3 linked regions of the Caenorhabditis elegans genome follow. The protein of the gene in region 3 interacts with the protein of the main gene of each other region in a pairwise test. Each region holds a gene or a part of one and is shown on either strand. Other genes may lie near its edges.

Evidence for each region.
Region 1: the proteins of lpd-7 (region 3) and rfc-2 interact in a two-hybrid assay, tested with the Caenorhabditis elegans proteins (one large-scale study listed by BioGRID).
Region 2: the proteins of lpd-7 (region 3) and csp-1 interact in a two-hybrid assay, tested with the Caenorhabditis elegans proteins (one large-scale study listed by BioGRID).

What each region holds. Positions count from the first base shown.
Region 1 is NC_003282.8:1,344,089-1,355,826, reverse strand, and holds rfc-2 (Replication factor C subunit 2), read right to left. Parts: upstream 8,514-11,738; 5' UTR 8,510-8,513; coding exon 8,363-8,509; intron 8,292-8,362; coding exon 8,185-8,291; intron 8,060-8,184; coding exon 7,936-8,059; intron 7,052-7,935; coding exon 6,973-7,051; intron 6,436-6,972; coding exon 6,260-6,435; intron 4,297-6,259; coding exon 4,042-4,296; intron 3,061-4,041; coding exon 2,944-3,060; 3' UTR 2,850-2,943; downstream 1-2,849. Other genes in the region: col-104 (Nematode cuticle collagen N-terminal domain-containing protein), read left to right, coding at 532-778, 1,528-2,126; F58F6.5 (G_PROTEIN_RECEP_F1_2 domain-containing protein), read right to left, coding at 11,475-11,539, 11,586-11,706.
Region 2 is NC_003280.10:13,598,636-13,609,097, forward strand, and holds csp-1 (Caspase A subunit p16), read left to right. Parts: upstream 1-2,568; coding exon 2,569-2,571; intron 2,572-2,821; coding exon 2,822-2,950; intron 2,951-3,197; coding exon 3,198-3,547; intron 3,548-3,908; coding exon 3,909-4,050; intron 4,051-4,313; coding exon 4,314-4,452; intron 4,453-5,369; coding exon 5,370-5,623; intron 5,624-5,667; coding exon 5,668-5,874; intron 5,875-5,919; coding exon of another isoform or gene 5,920-5,920; coding exon 5,921-6,022; intron 6,023-6,066; coding exon 6,067-6,303; intron 6,304-6,374; coding exon 6,375-6,422; downstream 6,423-10,462. Other genes in the region: gst-20 (glutathione transferase), read right to left, coding at 9,613-10,176. UniProt on the Caenorhabditis elegans protein: Cysteine protease which, in vitro, cleaves itself and caspase ced-3 into their mature active forms. Also cleaves, in vitro, inactive caspase csp-2 isoform b.
Region 3 is NC_003281.10:7,569,908-7,578,042, reverse strand, and holds lpd-7 (Pescadillo homolog), read right to left. Parts: upstream 4,694-8,135; 5' UTR 4,690-4,693; coding exon 4,567-4,689; intron 4,520-4,566; coding exon 4,385-4,519; intron 4,340-4,384; coding exon 3,304-4,339; intron 3,205-3,303; coding exon 2,903-3,204; 3' UTR 2,780-2,902; downstream 1-2,779. Other genes in the region: mfsd-6 (Major facilitator superfamily associated domain-containing protein), read left to right, coding at 12-518, 634-879, 1,099-1,210, 1,731-2,033, 2,434-2,579; rpl-9 (Large ribosomal subunit protein uL6), read left to right, coding at 5,228-5,560, 5,612-5,744, 5,795-5,898; R13A5.7 (FBA_2 domain-containing protein), read left to right, coding at 7,944-7,970. UniProt on the Caenorhabditis elegans protein: Required for maturation of ribosomal RNAs and formation of the large ribosomal subunit.

The sequences.
Region 1 (11,738 bases), on a different chromosome or scaffold from region 3:
CCTTTCTGACACGATGATTCCAGCCCCCGACATTTTCTGACCTTCCGCTATAATCGCCGCGCACTGCCGAACTGGTTCCGTTGTAGGGTGTCACTTTCGCATTGTGATTTCTTAAAAAATGGGCGGTGTCATACTATATAAGCATTTCCTGTATAGCCACTTTATCTTCACATTGTTCGTTTCGTTGTTTGAGATTTTTGAAAAAAAAATTTTGGAAAAATTTTACTTCTTTGAGTTATAAAAATTTTTATCAATTTTAAGTCAGAATTTTGATTTCCTCGTTGAAAATCCGTTAGCATGACCCCCATATTGGCCAATTTTCAACAAGTTTGAAATTTGGGTCGCGATGGCTCAGTCGGTTAGAGGTTTAGCTGACACGCAGGAGGTCAGGGGTTCGACCCCCGGGCCGTGCAAATATTTTTCTTTTCTTTTGCTTGTTAAGACTGAGTTGTTAGATTATCGATTATTCTTGTGTTTTATCGATTTTCCTAAAATTTTTGAATTTTATCGATTTTTCTTGCAGCTCGGAAAATGTCGGCTCGAGTGGCTGGCTACGCGGCGATCGCCTTCTCCCTATCCTCGCTATTCCTCGTCTCCACATTCGTACCAGCACTATGGAATAAGATCAATGACATCACCGGAGAGCTTCACTACGATATGAACGAGTTCCGTGATCTACACAACGAGGTTTGGGCAAATATGCGTGGCGAGACCTTTGGAGAGTCGGTTGTACCATTCGCCAGAAAGAAGAGACAGACAACTCGCCCGGGAGAATGCGGTACGTTTTTTAAGAGTGGGATATTTGAATTTTCCGTGAAAAAACTGGGAATCTCAAAACATTCCGATTTTTTGTGGATTTTTCGCTGGAAAATCGCATTTATTGGGGATTTTCTTTCGAAAGAACTGATTTTTTGCTTAATTTTGAACTATTTTCAGCCAAAAAATCTGGCTCAATTTCGGAAATGTCAAAAATTTTATTTTTTTTGGAGATTTTTATCGAATTTCTTATAAAAAATCCGTTGTTTTTCCACACATTTTGGGATTTTTTTTCAAAAAAACGGACTCGAGTTTTCCGATTTCTTTTTTTGAAAAACGCGTGGCTCAGTGGCTAAAAGGTTAAGCTATCACGCACACGCCCGTGGTTCGACCCACAGTATAGGCAAAATTCTTTTTACTTTTTTTCTAAGGTGAAGATTTCAATTTTTGACGGATTTTTTTGCCAGAAAACCCAAATTTTGGGGACTTTCAAAAATCAAGTTTTCCACGGAAATGATTTTTTTTTTATTTTTAAGTGATATTTCTGTTTGAAACTCACCTTTTCCAGCGTTTTCCTACAAAAATTTGAATTTTCCGTGAAAAATCCATTAATTTGACACCGAAATTAGCTCATTTTCGATTTTTTCTTAAAGCGTGGCTCAGTCGGTTAGCGGTTTGCCTGAGGCTCAAAAGACCGCAGTTCGACCCACGGGTCTGGCAAATAGATGTTTTATTATGTTATATAGACACTAAACTGCTCAAAATTTCCAGTTTGCAACTCGAACAGCGCTTGCCCACCAGGAGAAGCCGGTCCACAAGGAATCCCAGGACACGACGGTACCCCAGGACTCGCCGGAGACGCCGGAGCTCCAGGACTTCCAGGAAACTACCCATCAATCAATATGGATGCTCATCAACAATGCCGTATGTGCCCACCAGGAGCTCCAGGATTCCCAGGACCAGCCGGGCCGCCAGGAGCTCCAGGAGACAAAGGAAACGACGGTGCTCCAGGGCTCCGCGGTCCAGACGGACACCCAGGTCATCCAGGAAATCCAGGATATGGTGGAGAGCCAGGAGCTCCAGGAAACAACGGAGAGCCGGGAGACAAGGGACGTGATGGATCTCACGGAACCAAGGGAGCACCAGGACCACAAGGACCTTCTGGACCCGTTGGACAGCCAGGATTCCCAGGACAACCTGGAAATGATGGAAATAGCGGAGTTCCAGGGATCCAAGGATCCTCTGGAGGCCCTGGAGAGGATGGAGCTCCAGGAGCACCAGGATTCGATGGACAACAGGGACCGAGTGGAACACCTGGAGAGGATGCCAACTACTGCAAGTGCCCACCAAGAAGCAAACTTTCCAGATAATTACTATCGAAATAAAGATTTTTCAATAAGAAATTCAGATTCTGCGTAAAAAACTGCGTTTTTCGAGATCCCCCAGAAGAAAAAAAAATTTAAGCGGAGCTTAATTTCCAGTAATTTTTACAAAAATAAAAAATTTTTGAAAAAATTTAGTCTGAAAATCAATGCCTTTCAAATTTGATTTTCGAGCGATTTCAAAATTTTCAGAAGAAAAATTGAAAATTTGGGCATAGCTTCCGCATCTCCGGTGACAAATGTGCTCTATTGCACCGAATTGTTGGTTGGAATACGGTATTTATTGCATATTTCAGCCGAGAATACCACTATTCAAACCATCAATTCGGATAGAGAAACACACAAGTCACATACTATATAGGGAAATTCAGTTCAGTTGCCGAGGTGGCGAGCCAAAATTTATAGCATTCCTCGGCAAAAACTGGAATTCCGGAAAAAACCGGAAAAGGCTAAAAAATCTTCGAATTTTTAGCAGGGATTTGAGCAAAATTTGAAAAATCCAAGAAAATTAATTTTTTGCATCAAAAAATTGAAAAATTCAAAAAGTGTGCAATTGCCGAGTTGCCGTACCCAAATTTTTAGCATTTCTCGGCAACTGGGATGAAATTGCTAAAGTTCCGAGGAAAATCCATCTATAAATATGTTTAAAGTGCAATAAAAATAATTAATAAAACGCGCAATTTCGCTGCGAGACCCAAAACTACATATTCTGTACAAGAATCGGGTTCATTTGAAATTTTGAAAAAAAAAATTGAGAAGATATGAGGATCGACGTGAAAAATAATTGAAAATCTCGGCAACAATTTTAGGCACTCGTAGCCGTTGCCGCTGCTGAAACTCGGCACAGATCGGCAATCAGACGGGAGAGTTGAAGTTTCGAAGTGAGTCCCTGCACGATACGCATATGGCACATGGCGATTTGCTGAAAAATTGTTTCGTTGTTTTTTTTTAATGGTTTTGGGCTAAAAAATTAAAATTTGGGCATAGCTTCCGCATCTCCAGTGACAAATGTGCTCTATTGCACAAATTGTTGGTTGGAATACGGTATTTATTGCATATTTCAGCCGAGAATACCACTATTCAAACCATCAATTCGGATAGAGAAACACACAAGTCACAGACAATATACCGGGAAATTCAATTCAGTTGCCAATTTGCCGGAAATTTCAATTTCGGCAATTTACCGATTATCCGGAAATTTTTATTTCCGGTAACTTGCCGATCGGCCGGATATTTTCAATACCGGCAACTTGCCGATTTGCCGGAAATTTTGATTTTTGGCAATTTTCCGTTTTGCTGGAAATTTCAATTCCGGCAATTTGCCGATTTGCCGGAAATTTTTGAATTCCGCTATTTTCCCATTTTGCCTCAAAATTCAATTCCGGCAATGTGGCGGAAATTTTATTTTTTATTTTTGGCAGTTTGCCAATTGGACGAAAATTTTCAATTCCACCATTTTGCCGTTTTGCCGGAAATTTCAATTCCGACAAATTGCCGATTTGCCGGAAACTTTCGATTCCGGCAAATTGCCGAGTTGCCGCAAATTTTCATTTCCGGCAATTTTACGGTTGGCCGGAAATTTCAATTGGAAATTCAGTTCAGTTGCCGAGTTGCCGGACTCAATTTCCGGTAACCAAAAACTAAAATTCGGCAATTTCCGGCAACTAGTCTTCGAAATTCACGATTTTCGCCAATTTTAGGCTACCAATCCCTAAAATCCGGTGGTTTTCGGCAATTTTCAGCCACAAAGGCCGAAATTTAGATATTCCGATGATCTAACAACGAAATTTCGCGTTTTTCGGCAAAACAAAGCTCCAAAAAACGCGGATTTTTGACAATTTTCAGAACACCCCGGGCGGCTTTTAGCCGCTCATTTTGGCTCATTTTCCACCCATTTTCTCACCCGAATATACTCCATTCTCAGCTGTTCGGACACATTTTTCGACAGCTCGACAGTCTTTACCACACGGAACAACGTTGATACAATATCGTCTGAGGAGAAGCCAAGCCGATGAAACTCGTGAATAATCTTGGATGCCTCGAAGAATTTGCGATCCGTACAGTAATGGAGCATTTTGATCATAAGGTCCGGGTGTGGCTCATCACAGACTTTCAGCACATTTTCCTTGTTCACAAGCTCGTAAGCGTTCACTGTTGCCTGGAAAATCGGAACATTTTACTTTTTTAGCCGGAAAATTGCATATTTTACATAGTTTTTAATTGAAAATAAGACATTCTAAATTTTCTACAAGTTTTCAGCCCAAAAATGGAAAATTTGTTTTGAAACGCAATTTTTGTTTAAATTTTCAGCAGATTTTTACTAAAAAAAAATTGGGCATAGCTTCCGCATCTCCAGTGACAAATGTGCTCTATTGCACAAATTGTTGGTTGGAATACGGTATTTATTGCATATTTCAGCCGAGAATACCACTATTCAAACCATCAATTCGGATAGAGAAACACACAAGTCACAGACAATATATAGGGAAATTTAGTTCAGTTACCGAGGTGCCGAGCCAAAATTTATAGCATTCCTCGGCAAAAACTAGAAAAGGCTAAAAAATCTTCGAATTTTTAGCAGGGATTTGAGCAAAATTTGAAAAATCCAAGAAAATTAATTTTTTGCATCAAAAATTGAAAAATTCAAAAAGTGTGCAATTGCCGAGTTGCCGTACCCAAATTTTTAGCATTTCTCGGCAACTGGGATGAAATTGCTAAAGTTCCGAGGAAAATCCATCTATAAATATGTTTAAAGTGCAATAAAAATAATTAATAAAACGCGCAATTTCGCTGCGAGACCCAAAACTACATATTCTGTACAAGAATCGGGTTCATTTGAAAAAAAAATTTGAAAAAAAAACATTGAGAAGATATGAGGATCGACGTGAAAAATAATTGAAAATCTCGGCAAAGCTCGTAAGCGTTCACTGTTGCCTGGAAAATCGGAACATTTTACTTTTTTTTAGCCGGAAAATTGCATATTTTACATAGTTTTTACTTGAAAATAAGACTTTTTCTAAATTTTCTACAAGTTTTCAGCCCAAAAATGGAAAATTTGTTTTGAAACGCAATTTTTGTTTAAATTTTCAGATTTTTACTAAAAAAAATTGAAAAATTGGGCATAGCTTCCGCATCTCCAGTGACAAATGTGCTCTATTGCACCGAATTGTTGGTTGGAATACGGTATTTATTGCATATTTCAGCCGAGAATACCACTATTCAAACCATCAATTCGGATAGAGAAACACACAAGTCACATTTTCATGAAATTTCCACTTAATTATACTGGAAATCGGCATTTTTGCAATTTTTGTGGGGAAAAAATTGTTAAAATACCCCTTTTTTAGATGTCCTTTATCGAAAAAAAAAATTAACTGAAAAATGTAAAAAATTTCAATATTTTGATGAAATTTCATGATTTTCACTGAAAAAATGAGAAAATTTTAATGAAAATTTCAATTTTAGGAAAAATTCTAAGTTTTTTTGTTGCAAAATGTAAAAAACTGGTGAAATCAACAAAAAAAAATGTTTAAATAAAAAAATGGTACGAAATCCAATTTTCATGAAACTTTTTGAGATTTTCAAGGAAAAAAGAACATTCAGCGAAATTTTATATTTTTAGACCAATTTTTCAAAATTTTGAAAATAAAATTATGGAGTTCGGAAGGATGGCCAAGTTTTCCTGGAAATCTTTTTTGGAAATCTTTTTTGGAAATTTTTTTAAAGTTTTTTTTTTTTTTGGAATTATCTGGAATTTTTTGGGATTGTTGTGAAATTTTTAGGATTTTTTTTTGAAATTTTTAAAAAGTTTCCTAAAATTTTTTGAATTTTTTTTTTTGGATTTTATTTTGGAATTTTTGAGATTAATAACATTTTTAGATTTTCACTGAAGAAAATTTGGAAAAGGTCAATTTTTAGTGAAAAAAAATCCTTTAAAAATATGATTTTTTTCACCTTTTTTACGGAAAACGCCAAATTCCAACTAAATTAGCTAAAATTTCCGGTTTTTCACTACTTTTAAGCACATACATTGTAAAAATTCTGGTCTAGAAAATTGTGAATTTTCGCAATTTTTTCCAGCGTTTTCAGCTCAAAATTCAGCCTTTTCCCGGATTTTCTACCTGTAAATTGTTCAACGCCTGTCGCATATCACCCTGTGCAGTGAACAGAATCGCTTCAAGACCCCCGTCGTCATAGTTGACCTTCTCGGCTTTTGCAACCTCCTTGACACGTGTCAACAGCTGTACGGGGCTCAATTTTGTGTAGCGGAGCAGGGCACAACGGGATTGAATGGGCTCTGAAAGGGGCAAAAATCGATCGATTTTTTGGGGAGTTTCCAGGCCGAGATCTGTATTAGTGTGGACGGCAAGTGCCGTTCGGAAATTTTTTGTCAGCAAATTCGGCAAATCGGAAAATCGCCGGTTTGCCAATTTGCCAGAAATTTCAATTCCGGCAATTTGCCAATTTGCCAGAAATTTCAATTCCGGCAATTTGCCAATTTGCCAGAAATTTTAATTCCGGCAATATGTCGATTTGCCAGAAATTTCAATTCCGGCAATTTGCCAATTTGCCAGAAATTACAATTCCGGCAATTTGTCAATTTGCCAGAAATTTCGATTCCGGCAATTTGCCAATTTGCCAGAAATTTCAATTCCGGCAATTTGCCGATTTGCTAGGAATTTGAATTCCGGCAATTTGTCGATTTGCTAGAAATTTTCAAAACCAGCAATATGCCAATTTGCCGGAAATTTCAATTCCGGCAATTCGCCAGAAATTTCAATTCCGGCAATATGCCGATTTGCCGGTAAAATCGTTTGCCGTCCCTAATATGTACCAATAATCTTCTCGGATTGATTGCAGGCCAACGCAAATCTTGTCGTCTTTGTGTACATCTCCATTGTGCGGCGGAGAGCCTGAAAATTTGGTTTTTTTTTTTTGGAAATTCAATGCAAAATTCGTATTGAGCTCGTTGAGAGCTTTCATTTAAGTATAATCATGACTGGGTTCCGAAAATTTCGAAAAAATTGGAAATTTTTTAATCATCGTGGCGGGGGACTAATTTTTCGAGTTTAGGAGGTTTTTTCGGATGAAAATTGCATTTTTTGGGGGGATTTTCATTGGAAAAAATCGAATTCCTCGCAGAAAAACTGGTAGATTGACATCCAAACTGGCTCAATTTCAAAAAAAAAAACACGAAAATTTTGATTAATTATCGTGTAAATTTTCCTGAAAAAATAAGTGAAATTGTGTGTGCAAAGTTACCATTTTTCTCGGTTTTTTTTGTGGAAAAAACGGGCAATTTTCTGATATTTGACATTTTCTCTTTAAAAAAATCGCAAATTGTCTCGGAAAACGCTAGAAATTCCGGATTTTTGACCATTTAATTTATGGCATTTTTCATTTAAAAAAAATTCGAAATTTGTACCAATTTCATTGCAAAAAGCTCAAAAATTGCGGAACTTTGATATTTTCGTCAGAAAATTCCGATTTTATCTAGATTTTGTCAAAAAAAAACTGAAAAATCTACTAAAAACACTCACTTTTCGGCTTTTTTTACTTAAAAAAATCCCGCCTACGTTTAAGTCTAAGCCTGAGCCTAAGCCTAGGCCTAGGCCTAAACCTAATCCAAAGTCAAGGCCTGAGCCTAAGCTAAAGCCTGAGCCTAAGCCTAAAAGCCTAAGCCTAAAACTTTCAGATTTATTTCCAAAATTATCGCAGCCTAGTCATGTTCATACTTAAATCAAAGCTCTCGTTGAGCTGAATTCAAATTTCCAAGTTTTTCGGCAAAATTCCGCACCTGCTGTGCACCATCGGTCATCGAATCGGCCTCGTCCAGTATGATAATCTTGTGACGGCCTTCTGGAAGTGTCACCTTCGTCTGGGCGAACGTTTTGATACGATGACGGACCACATCGATTCCTCTGGAAATATTGGCAGTTTTTTGAGATTTTTTTTTTGAGAAAAATTCAATTTTTTCAAAGTTTTTAGCGAAAAAGTCAATTTTTTTGCAATTTTTCCCAGTTATTCAGGGTTTTTTCTCACAAACCTCTCGTCCGACGCATTCAACTCGAGCACCGCTTCCTTAACCTTATCGCCGAGCAATTCTCGAGCCAACGCCCACACTGATGTCGTTTTTCCGCAGCCTGGGGGACCCTGAACGGAAAAATTCGATTTTTCACTTCACATTTTGACTTTTAAAATGAATTTTTCAACAATCTTCTCACCGACAAAACAATATTCGGCACATTTCCCTCGTGTCCGATCACTTTGAGCCGCTCGACAATGTTCTCGTTGCCGACAATATCGGCGAGCACTTTTGGACGATATTTCTCCACCCATGGCGCTAATTGTTGCTTTTCCGACTTTGACATAGCTGGAAATATTGAAAATTTGATAAGAATTCGATACAAAACTCGAAAAACGTGACGAAAATTCATGGAATGACAAAGAAAATCAGTTTGGCGCGCTTAAAATTCAAAAAACAAATATTATCCGAGAGGAGTACACCGAGCGGGGACAAGGTTTCCTCCTCGGCCGCGGCCACTTTTGCCAAAAAAAACAACAGATATTCATGAAATTGAGCCAGAATCGCTATTTTTGAACGAAATTTCGAATTTTTTTCACAGAAATAGTAAAATTGATAAAATGGGAAGTCGGAAATTACAAAAAATTGTAAATACGAGCTGTTTTTTCAGCGATTTCTAGCAAGAATTAAATGGAATCAGAAGAATTCTGGGCAGAAGAGCATTTTTGCAGATAGAAATATGTTAAATATAATACTATCAGTGTATCTGACCGGTTTAAATAAAGAAAATATGTACGACTGTGGCGGCTTCGGGCTGATTCTCACTTCTCGTGGCAAGTGGATGCACTTCATGGACTTTTAACAGCTACAACTTTTTTCGCGTTGGAGATAGAGCATATGGGCTCGAGCTCGAGCATTTGGGCTCGAGATTGAGCATTTAGGCTCAAGCTCGAGCATCTGGGCTCGAGCTCTTACTTACTTTACTTTGATACTTTGATGTCCGTTGGGTTCAAGTTGCGAAGAGGATAAACTCATTCCATTTTTTTTCACGGTCAGTACGTGCGATGGACAGCCATGGAACCTTCGGAGTGAGCATTCCAAGTCTTCTTCTTCCGACGACGACTTGTCCTGAGTCAGGACTCCTGACATCGAAAAAAGTTTTTTTGAAATAAATAAATAAATAAATAAATAATTAATAATTAATAATTAATAATTAATCATTACCTATATATAAAAAAATAGTGTCCGTTTGTTAACAAGTGACGTCATAGCTTACAAAGGCAAGGTGTTTTCGGCTGTTGGAGGGATATTAGTTTGTGGTTAGTAGAGGAATATGGGCGGGGTACTGTATTAGTACTGTAGGAGTACTGTATTAGTACTGTAGGATCACTGTAGTTTATGAAAAATTGTGTTTTTGTCTTTTGAAGAGATATAGGTTTGGGGTTAGAGGTGGGATATGGTCGGGGTACTGTAGTAGTACTGTAGAGGTACTGTAGGAGTACTGTAGGATTACTGTAGTTTATGAAAAATTGTGTTTTTGTCTTTTGAAGAGATATAGGTTTGCGGTTAGTAGTGGAATATGGTCGGGGTACTGTAATAGTACTGTAGGAGTACTGTAGGAGTACGGTAGGATTACGGTAGTTTATGAAAAATTGACTTTCCGTCTTTGGAAGGGAAATTGGAAACTTCTGGAAAATTCTGAAATGTTCCAGAACCTTCTGGGAATTTCTGGAAAATTCTAGAATGTTCCAGAACCTTCTGGAAAATTCTGAAAAGCTTTAGAACCTTCTGGAAAATTCTAGAAAATTCTGGAATGTTCCAGAACCTTCTGGAAAATTCGAAAAAATTCTGGATTGTTCTAGAACCTTCTGGAAAATTAAAAAAATGTTGCTGCGAGATCTTCGTGGCGAGAGCCATCGTGGCGAGACCCATCGTGGCGAGACCCACCGTGGTGAGACCCATCGTGGAAAGACCCATCGTGGTGAGACCCATCGTGGCGAGACCCACCGTGGTGAGACCCATCGTGGAAAGACCCATCGTGGTGAGACCCATCGTGGCGAGACCCATCGTGGCGAGACCCATCGTGGTGAGACCCATCGTGGTGAGACCATCGTGGTGAGACTCATCGTGGTGAGACCCGTCGTGGTGAGACCCACCGTGGTAAGACCCAAAATTTTGGCGGGAAATTTAAATTTTCTGAGAAAAATATTTTGGCGGGAAATTTAAATTTTCTGTGAAAAATATTTTGGCGGGAAATTCAAATTTTCTGAGAAAAATATTTTGGAGGGAAATTTAAATTTTCAGTGAAAAAATTTTGGCGGGAAATTCAAATTTTCAGTGAAAAAATTTTGGCGGGAAATTCAAATTTTCAGTGAAAAAATTTTGGCGGGAAATTCAAATTTTCAGTGAAAAAATTTTGGCGGGAAATTCAAATTTTCAGTGAAAAAATTTTGGCGGGAAATTCAAATTTTCAGTGAAAAAATTTTGGCGGGAAATTCAAATTTTCAGTGAAAAAATTTTGGCGGGAAATTCAAATTTTCAGTGAAAAAATTTTGGCGGGAAATTCAAATTTTCAGTGAAAAAATTTTGGCGGGAAATTCAAATTTTCAGTGAAAAAATTTTGGCGGGAAATTCAAATTTTCAGTGAAAAAATTTTGGCGGGAAATTCAAATTTTCAGTGAAAAAATTTTGGCGGGAAATTCAAATTTTCAGTGAAAAAATTTTGGCGGGAAATTCAAATTTTCAGTGAAAAAATTTTGGCGGGAAATTCAAATTTTCAGTGAAAAAATTTTGGCGGGAAATTCAAATTTTCAGTGAAAAAATTTTGGCGGGAAATTCAAATTTTCAGTGAGAAAAATTTTGGCGGGAAATCCAAATTTTTGTTCCTTTCATATATATTATTCTTGCGGTTATTGCAATATATATGATAAGTATAAACAAAGGAATAACGATATGTAGCAAAGTTTCCACCTGAAATCATTTTCAAATTTAATTTAAGTATCGATTTTGTAATAATCACAAACTGAATTCCAGCTGGCGTTGCTACTGTTTTCATGATTCCGCGATTGTCTGCTTCACAGACTAATTGATAATTTTTAGAAGTTTTATCATATCCATATTGACAATTTGAAGACATTAATGCATATTCCACACCAAAAGCAAATATGTAAATACTTGCAAGCCAAATATATATTGCCTTACTAGAATTATAAATTTTTATATTTGAAATCAATTATTAAAAAAAACTAACGATTCAAAAAATTGGTTTGTCCAGTTACGTAGAAAAAATACAAAAGCACGTTGAATGGAAATCACCAAATTCGAAAAAAGTATAGAATAATGACAAAAATCAATAAGATAAGAAAAAAAAATAGCTCTAGAAAAACACATCAATTAAATTGCAAAAACCAAAGAATACTTACGTGATTGCGTTACTTCTTTTGAAAATAAAGATAGGGCAGCTGGAATGTTTATGAATAGATTCGAAGCAGAAATTATAAAAGCTGATGTTGTTAATTGTGTCAAAAACCAAAAGAATCTCATCTAAATGTTGAATAAAAACTATTATTAGTAAT
Region 2 (10,462 bases), on a different chromosome or scaffold from region 3:
CAAAAAATTTTTGTTTGAGATAAATAAAACCGCGTGAAGTGCGGCTTATGATCCTTTGAAGCTGAAGGATCAGATCACCAGGAGGTACCCTTCTTATCCTTCGGAGCTGAATGATCAGATTACCAGGAGGTACTCTTCTTATCCTTCGGAGCTGAATGATCAGATCACCAGGAGGTACCCTTCTGATCCTTCGGAGCTGAAGGATCAGATCACCAGGAGGTACCCTTCTTATCCTTCGGAGCTGAATGATCAGATTACCAGGAGGTACTCTTCTTATCCTTCGGAGCTGAATGATCAGATCACCAGGAGGTACCCTTCTTATCCTTTGAAGCTGAAGGATCAGATCACCAGGAGGTACCCTTCTTATCCTTCGGAGCTGAATGATCAGATTACCAGGAGGTACTCTTCTTATCCTTCGGAGCTGAATGATCAGATCACCAGGAGGTACCCTTCTGATCCTTCGGAGCTGAAGGATCAGATCACCAGGAGGTACCCTTCTTATCCTTCGGAGCTGAATGATCAGATTACCAGGAGGTACTCTTCTTATCCTTCGGAGCTGAAGGATCAGATCACCAGGAGGTACCCTTCTTATCCTTCGGAGCTGAATGATCAGATTACCAGGAGGTACTCTTCTTATCCTTCGGAGCTGAATGATCAGATCACCAGGAGGTACCCTTCTTATCCTTTGAAGCTGAAGGATCAGATCACCAGGAGGTACCCTTCTTATCCTTCGGAGCTGAAGGATCAGATCACCAGGAGGTACCCTTCTTATCCTTCGGAGCTGAATGATCAGATTACCAGGAGGTACTCTTCTTATCCTTCGGAGCTGAATGATCAGATCACCAGGAGGTACCCTTCTTATCCTTTGAAGCTGAAGGATCAGATCACCAGGAGGTACCCTTCTTATCCTTCGGAGCTGAATGATCAGATTACCAGGAGGTACTCTTCTTATCCTTCGGAGCTGAATGATCAGATCACCAGGAGGTACCCTTCTTATCCTTCGGAGCTGAATGATCAGATCACCAGGAGGTACCCTTCTTATCCTTTGAAGCTGAAGGATCAGATCACCAGGAGGTACCCTTCTTATCCTTCGGAGCTGAATGATCAGATTACCAGGAGGTACTCTTCTTATCCTTCGGAGCTGAATGATCAGATCACCAGGAGGTACCCTTCTGATCCTTCGGAGCTGAAGGATCAGATCACCAGGAGGTACCCTTATGATCCTTTGAAGCTGAAGGATCAGATCACCAGGAGGTACCCCCTGTGATCCTTCGGAGCTTGAGGATCAGATTATAAGGAAGAATCTTACGATATTCCAAGTTAGTTGGACGTTTTACAGCATTTTCCCAAAAGATCATTGTTCATACATTCAATTGTGAGTAGTCAAGGCCGGAAATCCATGGAAAATTGCATTTAAAAACTTATTCCAGTGAAAAAAAAACAAAAATCGATCGAGAAATATATATAAAAAACTAGTTGAAAAAGTTTGTCACCGAAGATCCGGTCAGAGACAAATGGCACTTTGTCGACTGGATACCATATCACTTTGGATACTTTGTCCCCAAAAATACCTTGTCACCCTAAAAGTTTTTCATCTCGGAATGAAGGCCAAGCCCACGCGGTCTCTGAGCAGGGAGCGTCACGCCCTCACGAGTATATAAGCCGACTAGAGAATAACATCCTCAGTCGAGAAAGACCTTGCCTGCTGGCGCCGGACGAAAGTAAGGCTCTCGTCGTCTGGCACAGCAACGACTCAATAAATGCTTTAGCACACAATCAAAGTGTTTTTGCATGATGTTTAACCATAAGCTGTGGCACCGGCTTATGTCCGTTAACACAAGGCTGAAACTCCGAAACTTGCTGATGAAACTCAAGAAGTTGATCTCAATCTTCATGACAGCTCTGAATCTGATCACGAAGGGTAAGTTTTTTTTCGTTGATTTGAAGAAATCCAATATCGAGAATTTTTATATTTTTAAAATCATTAAAACTGCAAGGAGTTTCAAAATATTGCCAAAAACGTGTAAACACATTTGAGTTCATGGAAGTTCAATTTACAAATTAAATCATTTATTCTCTAGTATTTAAAATTGCTGTTTTGTTCGCTGCAAATTTTGAAAGATGAACGACGATGAAGACGATGTAAAGGCGGAAATGGATCGGAGTTTAACGGGATTGGAGAATCAGATGGACAACTGGTCGACGTTTGATAGTGAATTCTTATGTGACGATGAAGAATATGTAAAGGCAGAATTGGATCGAAGTTTAGTGATATTGGCTGATGAAATTGATGAGATGAGATCTGAGGCTGATGAGATGAAAGTGAGATTGGCTGATGATAAAATTCAAAAAGAAATGGTAAGTTAGTTTTGCGATGATTTCGGTTTTTGTGTGAAGATACATAGAGTTTTGTCTTTTGAAAAGTCATATTTTGTTTTTCCAGATCCTGAAAAGTATAGATGATTATTCAAAATCACATTTCGACGACGATATGGTCAATGATTTCAATAACCACAAAAAATTTCTTCTATCTCTTTATCAGCATCAAAATCCACTGGAGATTTAAACATGGTTAGTGAGTATTGCGATGATGCTCCACAGTTACTTGGTGTTGAAAAATAAAACTCGGTCTGAAGTTTATATCGCGTTTTTTTTAAAGCACAGATATATGTGAAACTCGCCGGAATAATCTTAATAAGATTTTGGTAGAACACATTTTGATGTGGATGGCCGAGTTTTTTCATTTTCACGGCCACGTAGATGTGAAGTAGCTATAAAGATAAAGTTTTACCTTTTGAAAAATCTTATTCTGTTTTTCCAGGTCCTGAAAACGATAGAAGATAATTGTAAATCACAATTCGACGATGATTTGGTCGAAGATTTCAATAATTTTCAAACGACTTCTTCTATGTCTTCATCAACAACAATATCTACTGAAGATTTTAATACGGTTAGTGAGTTTCGCGATGATGCTCCACAGTTACTTGGCCTAGAAGAAATGAAACTCGGTCAGAAGTTTATATCGGTTTTTTAATCACAGATCTATGTGAAACTCGCCGAAATAATCTTAATAAGATTTTGGTAGAACACATTTTAATGTGGATGGCCGAGTTTTTTCATTTTCACGGCCACATAGATGTGAAGTAGCTGTAAAGATGAAGTTTTGCCTTTTGAAAAATCATATTCTATTTTTCCAGATCGAAATCGAGTCAACATTCGAAATATGCAGAAGTGGCTCCTATACAGAAGAGCCAATTCTTGGAGAAAATGATGAATTTTTGATTGATTTTGAAATGGAACGATTTCTGAAATTCCTTAAAGACAAAACAAAACAAGTAGAAAAAAGAAAAGAACCTTTCTCCCAAAAGGAAATATATGCAGTTTTCCAACGACGCATTAAATCTGAGCTCTGCATTGAAACGGTGAAGAAAAAGTTCCAACCACTCCTTCCCAATGCAATTCAAACATGCGAGTTCGACGAGGAAACTATGATAAGAATGATCTATGGTGCAGGAATTCGAATAGACTCTGTGGATTTCTGGAACCGGTTAGTATTTAAAAGAATTATTCAGAACAGGGGTGTGCGGCAAATCTCAAAATTTGCCGTGCTCGGCAAATTCGGCAAGTTCGGCAAATTTGCCGCACACCCCTGATTCAGAACAAAGATGAGTCACCAGATTCACTTGCCAAATATTTTTCGAAATACTTTTGAAATGTTTCCAACTTTAATTGCAACATAATGCAGAAAGTGGTCTTCACTTTTTGGAAATCGACGTGCCAATAAAATTGTCAATTTTGAACTTTAATTTTGCAACACAAAACTTATGGCCAATTTGTTTTAAAAAACAATCATTAATCAAATTTATGTTGTATTATTTAAGAGTATAAATGTACTAAAGTATTTTCAGGTTCACATCGAAAGCGACAATTTCACTAGACTGCTACTCAAGATTGATCTCATACTCTTCCGACTCTCTGACCTTAAGTGGTACTCATCGTTCTGGATTCACATATCATTGGATATCCACACCCCCTGTTACTTATCATAGGGTTTGTTTGCACATTTCATATTCACTTTTTGATTTTGAAGTATTGGGTCTGTAAATACTTCTCGAAGTACTCTCTAAAATGTTTAAAAGTCTTCTGAAGTCTCTGCGGTTTCCTTCTCTCCTCTTTTGACTTCTCGCTCTCTGCCAATGTTATGATACATTGATTTAAAAGACTCCGGAGACGAGAAGCGAGATCAAAGTGATGTTCTCTCATGATATTCCGAATTTTCTCTGTAGTTTCACCACAATATGTATTCATTTCAGACTGAAAATAAGGATCCAAATATACAAGAGCCATCTCCAGTTGAATTTCTAGATGTACAATCGAGTCTGGGTTCAAGTATGAAACCACCGATACTTGATAAGCCCACCAAACTAGATGACCCAGCTGAAACCCGCCATGGTAAGTCAACAATAACTTTGCGAAAAAACTAGAAGAAATTTTTAATAGAATCATAGATATCGAAGCAAGATACTTTCTCACTAAATTTCGATTCTCATATTTCCATCTATTGGGTTTCCTTAGAATTCAGAAGGTCATTAATTCCAAAAAGTGATTGGCTTTTAGAAAGAAAAATAATAGGAAAACGATTGGGACAAATGAAACCAGGCTTTTTTAGTGCATAAAACTCGGCTCAGGCTTGGCATTTTAATTTATTTTTAGAATAAGCTCACCAAGATATAGGACAGCATTGTGAGACTAATGTATTCTAAACAGCTCTTGTTTATAAAAACGTCTAAATCTCCTTTTTCTAGCTCATCTGCAAGCGGTTTGGATTTCAGGACAAAAATTGTAGTGCCCATAGAAAAAACATTAGAAAAAGTACTCACTTTTAAGCATGTAGGCATCAGCAGCTAACAGGTGGTGCAGCGAAATTTGAGTCGTAGCTTTTTTAGATCCAAAATGGCCCTAAACTACCAAATTCGTAATGAGACGTCCTGAAAATTTCTTTTAAAAATTATTATGGCTCAAAGCTTTGGAAAAATGCATGTTTTCTGCTAAGACCCCACGTGGTGTCCGAGTGTCCCATCACGATGCGGCTCAAAAAGGTATTTTTCTAAACTTTGAGCTGTCGCAACGAAACTATGTGGGTGGTCAACCACGGGAAATATTCTCTACACACAAAGAGGGGCGGGCCTAGGTGCTTTCACTAGCCAACGACGCTAACCATAGGGGCGGAGCTCATTTGCTCAAACTAATGCTCAAGAGACCCGTTTACACAATGGGCGGGAAATAAGAACCTATGGTCCTCCTGTACTATCAGCAAGCCCGACTAATTTATAGTTTTTGAATCTATAATAAGAAATAACTGCTTTCAGACTGCTCGTATTCACTGGAGGAGTATGACTCTCAGAGTCGAATGCCGAGAACGGACGCCAAGAAATCGAACCATAAACACAAGTATTGTTATGAGATGAATTCAAATCCGAGAGGGACCGTCCTCATATTAAGTAACGAGAACTTCAAGAATATGGAGAGAAGAGTCGGAACGAAACAAGACGAAGTAAATCTAACCAAGTTGTTCCAAAAGCTTCAGTACACAGTAATTTGCAAACGGAATCTTGAAGCTGAAGTAAGGTGAAACTATTAAGCTCTATTTGAGGGTTGTGTTTTCAGAGCATGCTTGAAGCTATCAAGGAATTCGCGGAGATGGCACATACCGATTCGATCATACTCTTCCTATTAAGTCATGGTGATGGAGCTGGAAGTGTCTTTGGAATTGATGACATGCCTGTCAATGTAATGGAGGTATCCACATATTTAGCGTATCATCAAAATCTTCTTCTCAAGCCCAAATGGGTTGCCGTGTCAGCATGTCGCGGAGGTTTGTTTTTCGGTTTTCTATTTTTCGAATAACCAACTTTTTTCGGGAAAATTGAACATGGGTGTTCCCGTTGACGGACTGCCAGCTTTGGAAGACAAATGTGCTCCAATCTCGAAATTTTGGAATTTAATGATGTCACGTATAATGGTTTGTTTAAAGGAGAAATCGATTTAATATTTTTCGCATTTCAGCCGGGAACCTTCACTTCATTGAACGCCGACGTCATCATCTCGTTTTCCACCACGGACGGGTTTACGTCTTATCGAGACGAAGAAGCGGGCACATGGTATATTAAATCCATGTGTAAAGTCTTCAATAAGCATTCAAAAACTATGCACCTTCTCGATATATTAACGGAAACTGGTAGAAATGTTGTTACGAAGTATGAGAATGTTCAAGGGAACGTTGTATTAAAACAAGCCCCAGAGGTAGGCTCACCGAATCTTAAATGCTGTCTTAAATGCAGTATTTTTTAAATCTTAAATGCAGTATTTTTCAGATATTATCCAGGCTCACCAAACAATGGCACTTTTCAAGGTCGATGTAACTGCGCTCCAGCGCGTTCGTATTAAATTTTAATTTCTTTGCGTTTTCTCTGTACACTTCTTTCACTTATTTTTAAATATTTAAACTCAAAACGTAAGTTGTTTCCTATTTTCTGATTTAGCTGATTTTCACTTTTCAGATTGCAACATTGATTACAATTAATGTGGATTATTGGAAAATTAAAAAAAAACGTGTGGGACAAGATGCACTTGCTGCAGGCAAATACTGTTTTACTACTTGATCTTTTACTGCGCATCTCTTTTACTACAAGATCTCTTTTACTACGGAATCTCTTTTACTACGAATTCCACATCTAGATCTTTTACTACAATCGGCTCTTTTACTACGGAATCTCTTTTACTACCGTTTACCAACATAGCTCTTTTACTACTGTGTGACTTCAAAGAAATAAAGGTGGAGCAGTGCCAGTAGCACCAGAGAGAACAATGTTAAAATCAAACTTACGATAAAAAATATATATATAGACAGGTCAACGCGCGTACCTCTCGCCCTTTTGGTGTAGTGGTTAAGCGCACGGTCTTCAGATACAGTCATTGCTGGTTCGAATCTGGATAGGTTCAGTTTTCTTTTACATCGTCAGGTGTCCTGATATAAGCTTTCAATGTGTTTTTTGGATCACGAAATTCTCGTGAGAGCTCTTGTCAGTATAAGCGCACGTCAGCATAAGCATATTCAAAACGTCAGCATAAGCATATTCAAAACGTCAGCATAAGCATATTTCAAAGGTGTCAGCATAGGATAGTTGGCAATGAGATTTTGCAATAAAATGTGTCCAACTGAAATGTTGTTGGCGATAGTGTCAAAAACATTTGGTTTTTTTAGGTTTCAATGTTTTTTTTTCGATTTATGAAAAAAAATCCAAAGGGTACCCCTTACAAAAATTTTCTAAATTTTTTTTTGAAAACTTTTTTTGAAAACTTTTCAAAATTTGATCAGATGTTATAGAAAAATGCAATGTTTGTTGTTTATCTAGTTTAAATGTTCTGAACGCGAATTCAGACTAAAACCTGAGGTATAGTAGAACCTCAAAATTCAAAAAAAGCACTCACTTCGGATGCTGATAACTCCGTGTAATAATTTTTTATGACAAAGTGATCAACAACAAAGTTGTTTATCTTAATATAAAGTACAATTTTGCAGTTAATCGTTTTTTATCAAAAAATTGGTTGGATGAGATATGAACAGAAAAAGAAGAAGAAAATACAAGCATGAAGGTGCCGAACTTTACACAACTTTATCTCGACCAACAAGTTTTTTGATAAAAAACAATTAACTACAAAGTTGTACTTTATATTAAGATAAACAACTTTGTAGTTGATCACTTTATATATCATAAAATCATAAAAAAATTTTCCACGGAGATATCAGCATCCGAAGTGAGTACGTTTTTTGAGCTTAGGTGTTCTACTAAACCTCAGGTTTTCGTCTGCAATCGTGTGCAGAACATTCAAACTAGAAAAAACTACAAACATTGCATTTTTCTGATCAAATTTTGAAAAGTTTTCAAAAAAAATTTCGGAAAATTTTATTAGATAGAGGTAGTCAAAGATCATTTGAAGGTAGTCAAAGAGCATTTATACATCAGATCTCATCTCCATTTTTTCCGGAATTTCAGGAAATGAGAAAGTGCACGACCTTCTTAGACATCAAAAAGTAACATGTTATTGAAAATTCTGATTTTTCAGCGAAAAAAACTGAAAATTCTGAAAAATTAGATAAAGGTAGTCAATGAGCAAAGGTAGTCAATGAGCAAAAGGTAGTCAAAGAGCCGAAAGGTAGTCAAAGATCTAAGGTAGTCAATGAGCAAAAGGTAGTCAAAGAGCCGAAAGGTAGTCAAAGATCTAAGGTAGTCAAAGAGCAAAAGGTAGTCAAAGAGCCGAAAGGTAGTCAAAGAGCAAAAGGTAGTCAAAGAGCCGAAAGGTAGTCAAAGAGCAAAAGGTAGTCAAAGAGAAGGTAGTCAAAGAGTGTTTGCCAAAAAAACGTGCGAATGTCGTTGTTTTTCTAGTTTGTTCTGAAAACAATATTAAGTAAAAAATTTTGGTACAGTAGAACTACCATGTTCAAAAAACGAATTCATTTTAGGATATCGCACGGTATTTTTTAAATGAAATCTCTAAGAAACATCATATGTTGAAACTGCATAAATGTAAAAATATACCATAACAGTAGTAAATTAGAAAATGTCAGCAAGTTAGTAAATCTGAGTTCAAAGTAAATGAACTATTTCTTAGTAAATGACTGAGAGTAAAAAATGAGTAAATTAGACCTTGAAGTAAATGAACTCTTTTTCAGTAAACGAGAGAAAGTGAAATTGCTAGTAAAATAGACGTCGAAGTAAATGAGCCACTTACGTAAACGAGTGATTTGGTAAATGAGACTATTAGTTAATGAGGGTTTGCCTACTTTTTTTTGGTACAAACCCACCTCACTAATTTTGAGATTTAAACAACATTTGTTGCCTATTTTGCAACAATTATTGGTAAAATTTCTATGAAATTGAAGTTATTGTACCTTTTTGTTGCAATTACAATCAAATTTTCTGAATTTTCACATAAGAAACTAGTTTTTCAGCAAAAAATTGTAAGCTCAAAGTCAGAAAAATGTTCTGAAAATTAATATTGCACTCCCTATTAGTCTTGCACTCCCTATTAGTATTGCAAGCGGTAAGGCCATCGAAAAATAGTATTGCAGCCATATTAATAGAAGAAATACGGTAAATATTTCCGGAACATCGGCAAATTGCCGGAATTGAAAATTTCCGGCAAATCGGCAAATTGCCGGAATTGAATATTTCCGGCAAATAGGAAAATTTCCGAAATTGATTATTTTCAGCAAACCGGCACAGTGCGGGAATTGAAGTTTCCGGTGAATTGGCAAATTGTCGGAATATAATATTTCCGGTTTGCCGTTTGCCGGATACCAATTTGCCGATTTGCCGTAAATTTAAATTCCGGTAATTTGCCGATTTGCCGGAAAAAATCATATTGAGCATATTTTTTCAGAAAGACGGCGTGCGACAAAAAATTAACAAGAAATGTGGTTTTTGATGCTTTTCGAACAGTTTAAAATATGTTTGTCTTTCCGATTTATGTCTGATGGGAAGGAAAAGTACACACAAATTTATTTGCTCCATTGGCCAAAGCGAAAAAATCAGAATATTCAGAAAATGATTAGAATCCCTTATCCGGGCTCGATTCAAGATGCTTGCGAATCTCCGGGATTCCATCGACTTTCTGGTACCAGGCCTTGATGTCTGGGTACTCGTTCAAGTATTCCGGCCACCACGCGATTAGGGTTCTCATATTATCACAAATCATCAAATCAGCATAGGTAAGTCCGCCGGAGAACAAGAATCCGGAGATGCTAAGCTTCAGGAACTTCCCGATAATCGTCAGGAACTTGTCTCTAGCTGGAATCAGCGTCTTCTTCTTCTCCTCTTCGGTGTCATTCTGAAGAACGCCGATTTTCGCGTAATAGTATGGCTTGATCTCCGCGTAGAAATCCTTGAACTGATCGATGAGGGCGTCGGCGAGCGCTGCCTCCTCGTCGGTTTTTCCGGCATAGCCGAATTTTTTGGCGAGGTACCTGGCGATCGCCATGGATTGTGGGATTTGGAGTCCCGAACTGAGCTCGAGCACGGGCATTTGGCCAAAGGGCATTTTGGGTTTTTGAGCTGGCCAGTCTGCATGCTCAATGCGGATATCCTCGTATTTGGTGCCGGATAGGGCGAAGAGCTGGAAATTTTGCGATTTTTGCGCCAATGTGTTAATTACGGTTTGATCTACAAAAAATACGGGGGAATTTTTCGCCCGAAAAAATGTGACGTCAGCACGTTCTTAACCATGCAAAATCAGTTGAGAACTCTGCGTCTCAACTTCCCGCATTTTTTGTAGATCTACGTAGATCAAGACAAAATGAGACACTCTGACACCACGTGGATTGCGAAAAGGCGTGCACCTGTAAAGAGTACTGTAACTGGAAACAGGCGGTAGTATTTTCATCGATTTTTCACATTGTTTT
Region 3 (8,135 bases):
CCCTGTTTCAGGTTTGCAACTACAACGAAGACAACTATGGAATCCTTGTCTCACCTCCTCACTCAACTCGTGTCTACCGTCAACCAGCAGTTGAACAAGCTTTCATGCTTCTTCTCATTCTTATCTGCCTTTGTGAATTCTTCTCAGCTCCTGCTTTACCTCTAGCAGACGCAGCAACTCTACACTCGGTACGGGATAATCCAGCCGAATTCGGAAAGATTCGATTGATGGCATCAGTTGGTTGGGGATTCGCTATGTTCATTATGGGAATAGCACTCGATTATTCGGATACATTCCGAAATCATCCATGTCCTGCTGAAAATACAACAGAGAAAAATTATACGTTATGTTTCGTAATGTGTGTCATATTTATGTTGGCTGCCATGGGATTGGCCAGTAAATTCAAGTTTGATGATGATGTTCCCGCACCCGGAGAGGTTCATGGATTGGTTATGGATACGAGAGAAGCTGAAGTTTCACATGTTGTTGCTGAGAAAGCAAGGGCGAGAATCACGCAGGTATGATGATTGAATAAAAAAAAAAGTAGTACTATAATTTATCAATTTTACATCTTGTTCAAGGTACTTACTTTGAACAAATCTCGATTTTTCCTTAAAAATTCGAATTTTGCAGTCGGAAGGTGGTGGTGGAAGTGAAAATAGTCTACTGCTTGCAATGAAGGCTCTTGCAAGTATGCATATTCTTCTATTCTTCGTATCAGTCGTTGTGATGGGCGGTGGAGCTGGTTTGGTGTTCAGTTTCCTTTACTGGCATCTTCAGGACATTGGAGGATCACCGGTGCTTTTTGGAATTCTATCTGTGGTCAATCACGCATCCGAGATTATCACATATTTCTATGTTTTCAAACTGATTAATAAGGTAAGTTTTTTTTTCGCTTTTCGGCCCAAAATTATTTTCCGGGGACTTTTCGCAAAAATGACAATTGTAAAGAATAAAAGTAACTCGAGTGTACGGTAACTCGAAGGTTTCTCTCGTACATACAAAGAATCAAAGTTATAATGTGGGTTTTAAAAATAACCCACACTTCGCAAGAACATATAATGTATAGAAGAGAAACAAGACGTTTACAATTTCCAGTATGGACATGTCCGCGTCATGTACCTGTGTCTGGCTGTCAATTTCTTCCGTTTCATGGCACTCTCAATTCTTGATAATCCATGGATGGTCCTTCCACTTCAGATCTTGCAGGGTGAGAAAATTTTTAGATTTATCAAGTTTTAGACACGTTTTAAAATTTTAGTGATGACCTGAAACATTAAAATCCAATAAAAACATGAAAAAATTAAGCTTGGAATTTGTCTCAAAACTTCCGACATATTAACAAAAAACCTTTAACATTTTGATTGTTTGCTGACTATGAGAAATGAAATTTCAAATCAAATCCCAATTTTGGTCCTCGTGCTATGCACGTGGAATCCGGATCCACGCGTGGAGTCAGATTGTCTCATTTCGGTTTGATCTACATTAAATGCGGGAGAAGAGACGCAGACAGCTCATTTGATTTCGCATGGTTAAGAACGTGCGGACGTCACAATTTTCTGGAACGATATTGCCGCATTTTTCGTAGATCAAACCGCAATGAGACAGCCTGACACCACGTGCTATATAAGACCCTGGTGCACTTTTTTGAATAATTTCAACGTTTAAGATAAAAGATCTAATAAACTTCAAGTAAAGGCGAAGGTATTTAAAAATTATTATGTTTTCAGGAGCTTGCCTCGCCACTGTCTGGTCTTGCGCATCATCGTATATTTCGCTTGTTGCTCCACCACACGCCAAACAACATGCTCAATATGCTCTTCAAGTAGGGTATCACGGAATTGGAAAAGGTCTCGGATCAATAATTGGTGGATCCGTGATCTCGATCATTGGAACACGAACAACTTTTGTGATTTATGGATTGATTTGTCTTGCGACATGTGCTGGAAGTTTTGGTCTGAATAAGCTGTTCAAGTATGAAGGAATCAAGTATGGAGCTGGGAATTTCGAAGAAGAAGATATGGATATTATGGGTAAGTTGAACTTTTTCTGTTGCCCAGGCGAGAAATTTTGCGCCAGAAATACGGTGACCGGTCTCGGCACGACAAGTGTTTTGTTAAATGCGAACGGATGTATGCCTTTAAAAAGTACAGTAACTTCAAACTTTCGTTGCTGCGCCGATTTTTTCAAATTCCTCAAACAATATTATATTAGTTAGTTAAAAAGTGAAACAATTAAAACACACATTTCTTAACTAATCATTAAAAAATCGATAAAATTCCCACATCAACACAAGTTTGAAAGTACAGTACTCTTTAAAGGCGCACATCTTTGCACATTTAACAAATATTTGTCGTGTCGAGACCGGATCCCGTATTTTTGGCTCAAAAATCGCAAAATTTCGCGTCTGGGTGATGATTATTTATATTTTAGCACCACAAGGAGTCCCGATGGCTCGGGATGGAAAAATCACAGATGCTTTCAATGCAACTACCGTAGTCAATGCAAACTATGGTGCAATTGCTCAAGAAGATCCAACACAGGATGCTTATGATAGATATGTATCCACGACACGTTAGATCGAAGATGCTTAGGCTGTATTTGAAAAATAACAAAAAAGCAATACAACAAAATCCACGACAACCAATACAAAATCGCCTTAGATCTCACCTAGTTTTACTTATAAAAAAGCAATAAGTCATGATTTCTATTTATATTTAACTTATTTTTTGTCACTTTGAATTTGAATAAAAACTGTTTTTCAATTGTAAAATTATTTCCGAACGTCATTTATCAATGATAATGGGCATAATAATGGTAACAAAACAAAGATGGATTATTAAAAGAGATAAAATCAACAATTTCAACAAAACAAAACGAGAGAACACAACTTGCATATGATTTATGCCTCTGTTGCCTTTGCCAACTTGGCCTTCTTCTTCAATTTCAAAGCGTCGTTGCGATTGCGTTTGAACGTGGTCTTCATACTGTGGTACACTCGTTGGTGCTTCTTGGAAATCATCAATTCGCGCATCTTCAACTCCTGTCCCTTCTCGACAGTCTCGTGGAACTTCTCTTTGCTCTTCTTGTGCATTTGACCAACAGCAATGTGAATACCCTTTGGTTTTTCTGGTTTCACCTCCTTTCTTCGCATTGGCAACTCGTCCATCGTCTTCGGAATTGCTGCTTCGAGATCAGACACGTCTGAACAATATTTTATTAAAGGACGTGAATTTAATATCTCGTTCCTTCAGATCAGATTGAAAAGATAGAATACTACACAAAAGTAAAAACAAAACACACCTTTGCCCATGCTTCTGAGTTCTTCCAATCTTTCGAACGGAATGTAGTCTCCAGCCTTCTCAGATGTAAATGGTGAGAAATGTGGCGGAAGAGCTACTCCTGGCATGTATCTTTCCGTAGGCAGCTTCCTGCGAGCATTCAGACAATCGAACACCCACTGTGGCTGTACATAAAGTCTATTCACCTCCAGCTTGTCCATTGGCCGATCGACAACGTGGTGACTGATATTTTTACTGTCGGCCTTGAGATCTGTAGGGCCTCCTTCCCATCCAACAATTCCACCTCCATTACGAATAATAAAAGTGAGTGCTTCTTTTGGGCACTCTCGATTCAAGTAGAAAACGCAACCTTTGAACATAGTCTTGATGCTTTTTGCTTCTCTGACTTTTTGCGCGAGTGCATCAGAGTCTTCACCAAGAAGGTCCAACGGCTCATCGTCTTCAGCCTGCTCAACATCCTTTCTCTTAGCCAATGGTTTCGCCAAACTGTACACCTTTTCTTTGTATTCTTCAGTCTCCATTTCATCAGTTTTCACGACTTGCCCGATCTGTGGTGGGTAGAAGAGTCCGATGTCTTGATAGAGCTTGAAATTGACAAACCCCAACATGGCAATGTAAAACTCGACGAAAGTCACGAGGACTGTGAAATCAACATCGGTGACATGTGGAAGACCACGCTCGTGTGGAACAACCCAAGTGATTTTCTCTCCATGTACCTCCGCTTGATAGTAAATTCCCTTGATCGAGATGAAGGTATTGCGAAGAGATTGCGATTCAATCACATAGTGCATGAACTCCGCAGTGAGTTTTCGGCAACTGTCAATCATTCCTTCTTTGAGAACACGAGTATGTGGAAGCATAGCGAATGTGAAGCAAAGGGACAAGGCGTCATCCATATCTCTGAGAGCTGATCCAAATGTTGGGAAGCGTTCCTTGACGATAGTGTCCAGACTATAGACTGGCTTGTTTTCGTACAACTTCTTGAGTTTATCCTCTTCCTTCTTTGCTTTCAAGTGATTCAATTTACGCAGGAACACCTAAAAACATTCAAAGTTTATTTTGTTGAACAAAGATAAACTTGCCTTATAATCTCTGAACTTATTGATGATGGGTTCGTGGGCGAGAAAATTGATGTCTTTGCGATAATAGAACACCTTATTTGCAGTTGAACCCTTGTTTGCTTGCTTCTTGTGGGCCGGTTCGTGTGGGTAGATTCCCTGAAAAATTTGAATTCGATGACTAATTTAAAAATTAATGTACTAACCTTAATAATACAAAGTCGGCGGAAGTCCTTCAGTGTAAGTTGAAGCTTCTTCAATGCTTGTTTCCGTGACATATATGCCACGGCAGCTCCGGCTGTGTACTTTTGTTTGAATCGGTCCTTCATTCTGCTGAAAATACGAAATAATAAGACGAAGCTTCCGACGGAATTAACGAGACTATCAAGACACCAGGAAAACTAGTTAGCTGAATATTACTGAATTGCTAAGATAAATTATAAATAGTTGATTTTCTATGTAAATATGAGTGATGCGCGATAAAAAATGGTGAAAACGACCACATTTGGCGAAAAATTGGTGTCGAAGTGAAGAGGGCACAGAAAAGTAGGAGGAGATTCGAAGAGACAGAGAACGCAACTGCCGCACGGTTTCTATTTCGCTGAGTATCGACGCTATACAGCATGTGCGATACGGAGCTTATTTCAACACTGAAAAATATTCCTTCTCCCGACTTTATCTTTCTTCTAACGTTGTTCACTAATCTCCATTTCAAAAGTGTTAGTGCCGTTTCAATTGCAGTTTTTCTTACATGTTTCACGATTAAGTAAAACGTATTGAACCGAACTCTGTTGATTTTTAATTCTTGATATTTACTTTTAATGCGTTGCAATTCATTTTATCGTTTCCAGGTAATCCAGGGAGATCATGAAGCTGATCGAGTCTAACGACACTGTTGTGTTCCCAGAGGGAGTCACCTTCACCGTCAAGAACCGCATCGTCCATGTCACCGGACCACGCGGAACCATCCGCAAGGATTTCCGTCACTTGCACATGGAGATGGAGCGTATCGGAAAGAGCACCCTCCGCGTCCGCAAGTGGTTCGGAGTTCGTAAGGAGCTTGCCGCTATCCGCACTGTCTGCTCCCACATCAAGAACATGATCAAGGGAGTCACCGTCGGATTCCGCTACAAGATGCGTTCCGTATATGCCCATTTCCCCATCAACGTTACCCTTCAAGATGGAAACAGAACTGTTGAGGTAAGTGAAATTATTCATGTGTTTCATAATTCAAACTCACACATTATTCAGATCCGTAACTTCTTGGGAGAGAAGATCGTTCGTCGTGTCCCACTTCCAGAGGGAGTCATCGCCACCATCTCCACCGCCCAAAAGGACGAGATCGTAGTCGAGGGAAATGATGTCCAATTCGTATCTCAAGCCGGTAAGAAAACTTATTTTGTTTATTTCACATTTAAATTATTATTTCTGCAGCTGCCCGTATCCAACAATCCACCGCCGTTAAGGAGAAGGATATCCGTAAATTCCTCGACGGAATCTACGTTTCGGAGAAGACCACCATCGTCCCAACTGACTAATTTCTAGTCGCTTTTTGTTAATGAATTTGTTATCAAAATCTGAAGTTTTTATTTGAATTAGCGAACAACGAATCTGGTCAAAGGTGCTAATGGAGTGCATTACTAGAGAAAGCGACGGTGATTGTATTATCTGGACTATTTGTACAAATTTTGTGGTTCTGTAGATAATATTGGGTTTTTTCCAAAATTCGGGAGAAACTTTCCATGGCCATAGCGCTGTTTGAAAATGTATCGTAATTTGGCAAGATTTTGGTAGGTCTTAAAGGCGCATAGACTTATTCAGATGGGTATCGGCACACAAAAAGTTTACGGTAGCCTTTTTTTTGCGGCTGCTTCCTTGTTTCGGTTCCATGCAAAAAATAAAAACAATGTAATTTCATTGAAACGTACAAGGAAAATATGTAAACAAGGAAGCAGTCACAAAAATTAAACAAAAGATAATACCATAACTATGTTGCGTGGTGAGACCCATTTGAATAAATCCATGCGCCTTTAAGAGCACATGTCAAAAATTAATCAACTCAATAGCAAGGATGAAAATTTACTACAAACTATTTTGAAATTTGAAGATCTGGCAATAAAAAAATATTTTTAAAAAAGTATTTCTGTGGTGATGTCACTGAGGAGATGCTGAAATGATGAAATCTGTAAAATATATTAGAAAATGTTTAAGTTACGGTCAAAAATTCCAATAACTCAGTTTTCCCCTAGCAAGTTTTTGAAGACGACCAAGAAAATTGTGTTTCTTAATAATACAATCATGTTTTTTTAAACGATTGTAGTGGCTCAAACCTGAAACACTTCTCGAAATTTCTCAGAAAGTCCAAATTCAGTGACCAAGAACTAACTGCACAATTTGAAAAAAATTACAATCCGACATATGTATATATATATATATATATATATATCGTATTTCCTCTGTTAGTTAGGCGCCTCTATTAGTTTTGCATCAAAAATCACCAATCGAAAATTAGTTTTGCACCCTCTATTAGTTTCGCACCTCTAATAGTTTTGCTCCCCTTCATTTGTTCCCTATTTTTAGGAATTCAAAAATTTGCATTATAAAGTCGTTCTAAAAATTAGGAAAACTTTTACAGACTTGGTATAACAAGTCAAAACTGGCAAAATATGAGTACAATTCGGACAATTTTTGCATATCAGTCTTAAAATTCGTCCATTTTAGTTTATAGTTGTTATTGAAATTGATGATATTATGCTTGGACAGGAACGATACAGACGTAGGTCGCTTTACAGCTTTTCCCAAATTTAGAACACTTATTCAGATCTTTCAAACTCCTGATGTTTGAGCTCAAGTAAACTGTGGGACATTGCACTATTCTAGCATACTCACAACCATCCCTTTTCATTATTCTTTTCTTTCAATATTCTCTTCTATCTTTCTCCAACAACGACCCAAATGTGCCAGCACCTAGCCCTTTTCACTCCACCCATCTACACACTATTCTCGCCTTCCTTCCTTCTGAATATCGTGTGTATGTGTGTGTTGTGTTCGCCTCTTTTGACTCTCTCTGTCTCTCTTCCTACCATCCCAAGCAGATCACCGACAAGGCACTATGCTATCTTTAACCTGCCCTCCAGCAATTCAATTGTCTCTCCTTCTTGTCACCCGCCTGCACATAGAGTGAACTGCCCGGTGAGAGTGTGCAAGAGACAGTGAGACTTAGAAGACAGCAGACCACCGCGTGTAGTTCCCCCAGTCCCTCGGATGTCTGGATACTCTAAACTAGAACATTAGCATCTTGTATCTATGCACACTGGTTTGTCTCTAATTGTCTAAGTCTGAAGTCTTTTTTTGATGTTAGACCCTTGTGCTAGACCTATGGTAGACCCTGCTTGAGACCCTTGCTTGAGGAAGCGCCCGATCACCTCTCGCCACATCATCTGCTCTTTTATTTCCCACTCTTCTTCTCTCACATTCCCTCATTCAATCTGTTCTCGCATCATTTCATTTTTTGATAATAATTCTCAGTTTCTACTTGTCTCTTTGCAGAAGCATCACTCCTGGTGCCCTTCCTCCGTTTCTTATGTCGGAAAAACCAACCCAAGTCGAGGTGAGTCTCATTGCTACCGTAATCATAGTATTAGGGTTCTGGTAGTTTCAGAAAAATAGTTCAAAAGTGAAACCAAGTGGGAATATTGGTAATAGAGTGAGTTTAGAAACTGTTGTGCTCATATTTGTAACTGTCAACTTCTCCTTCTGTCTATTCTATCCTATT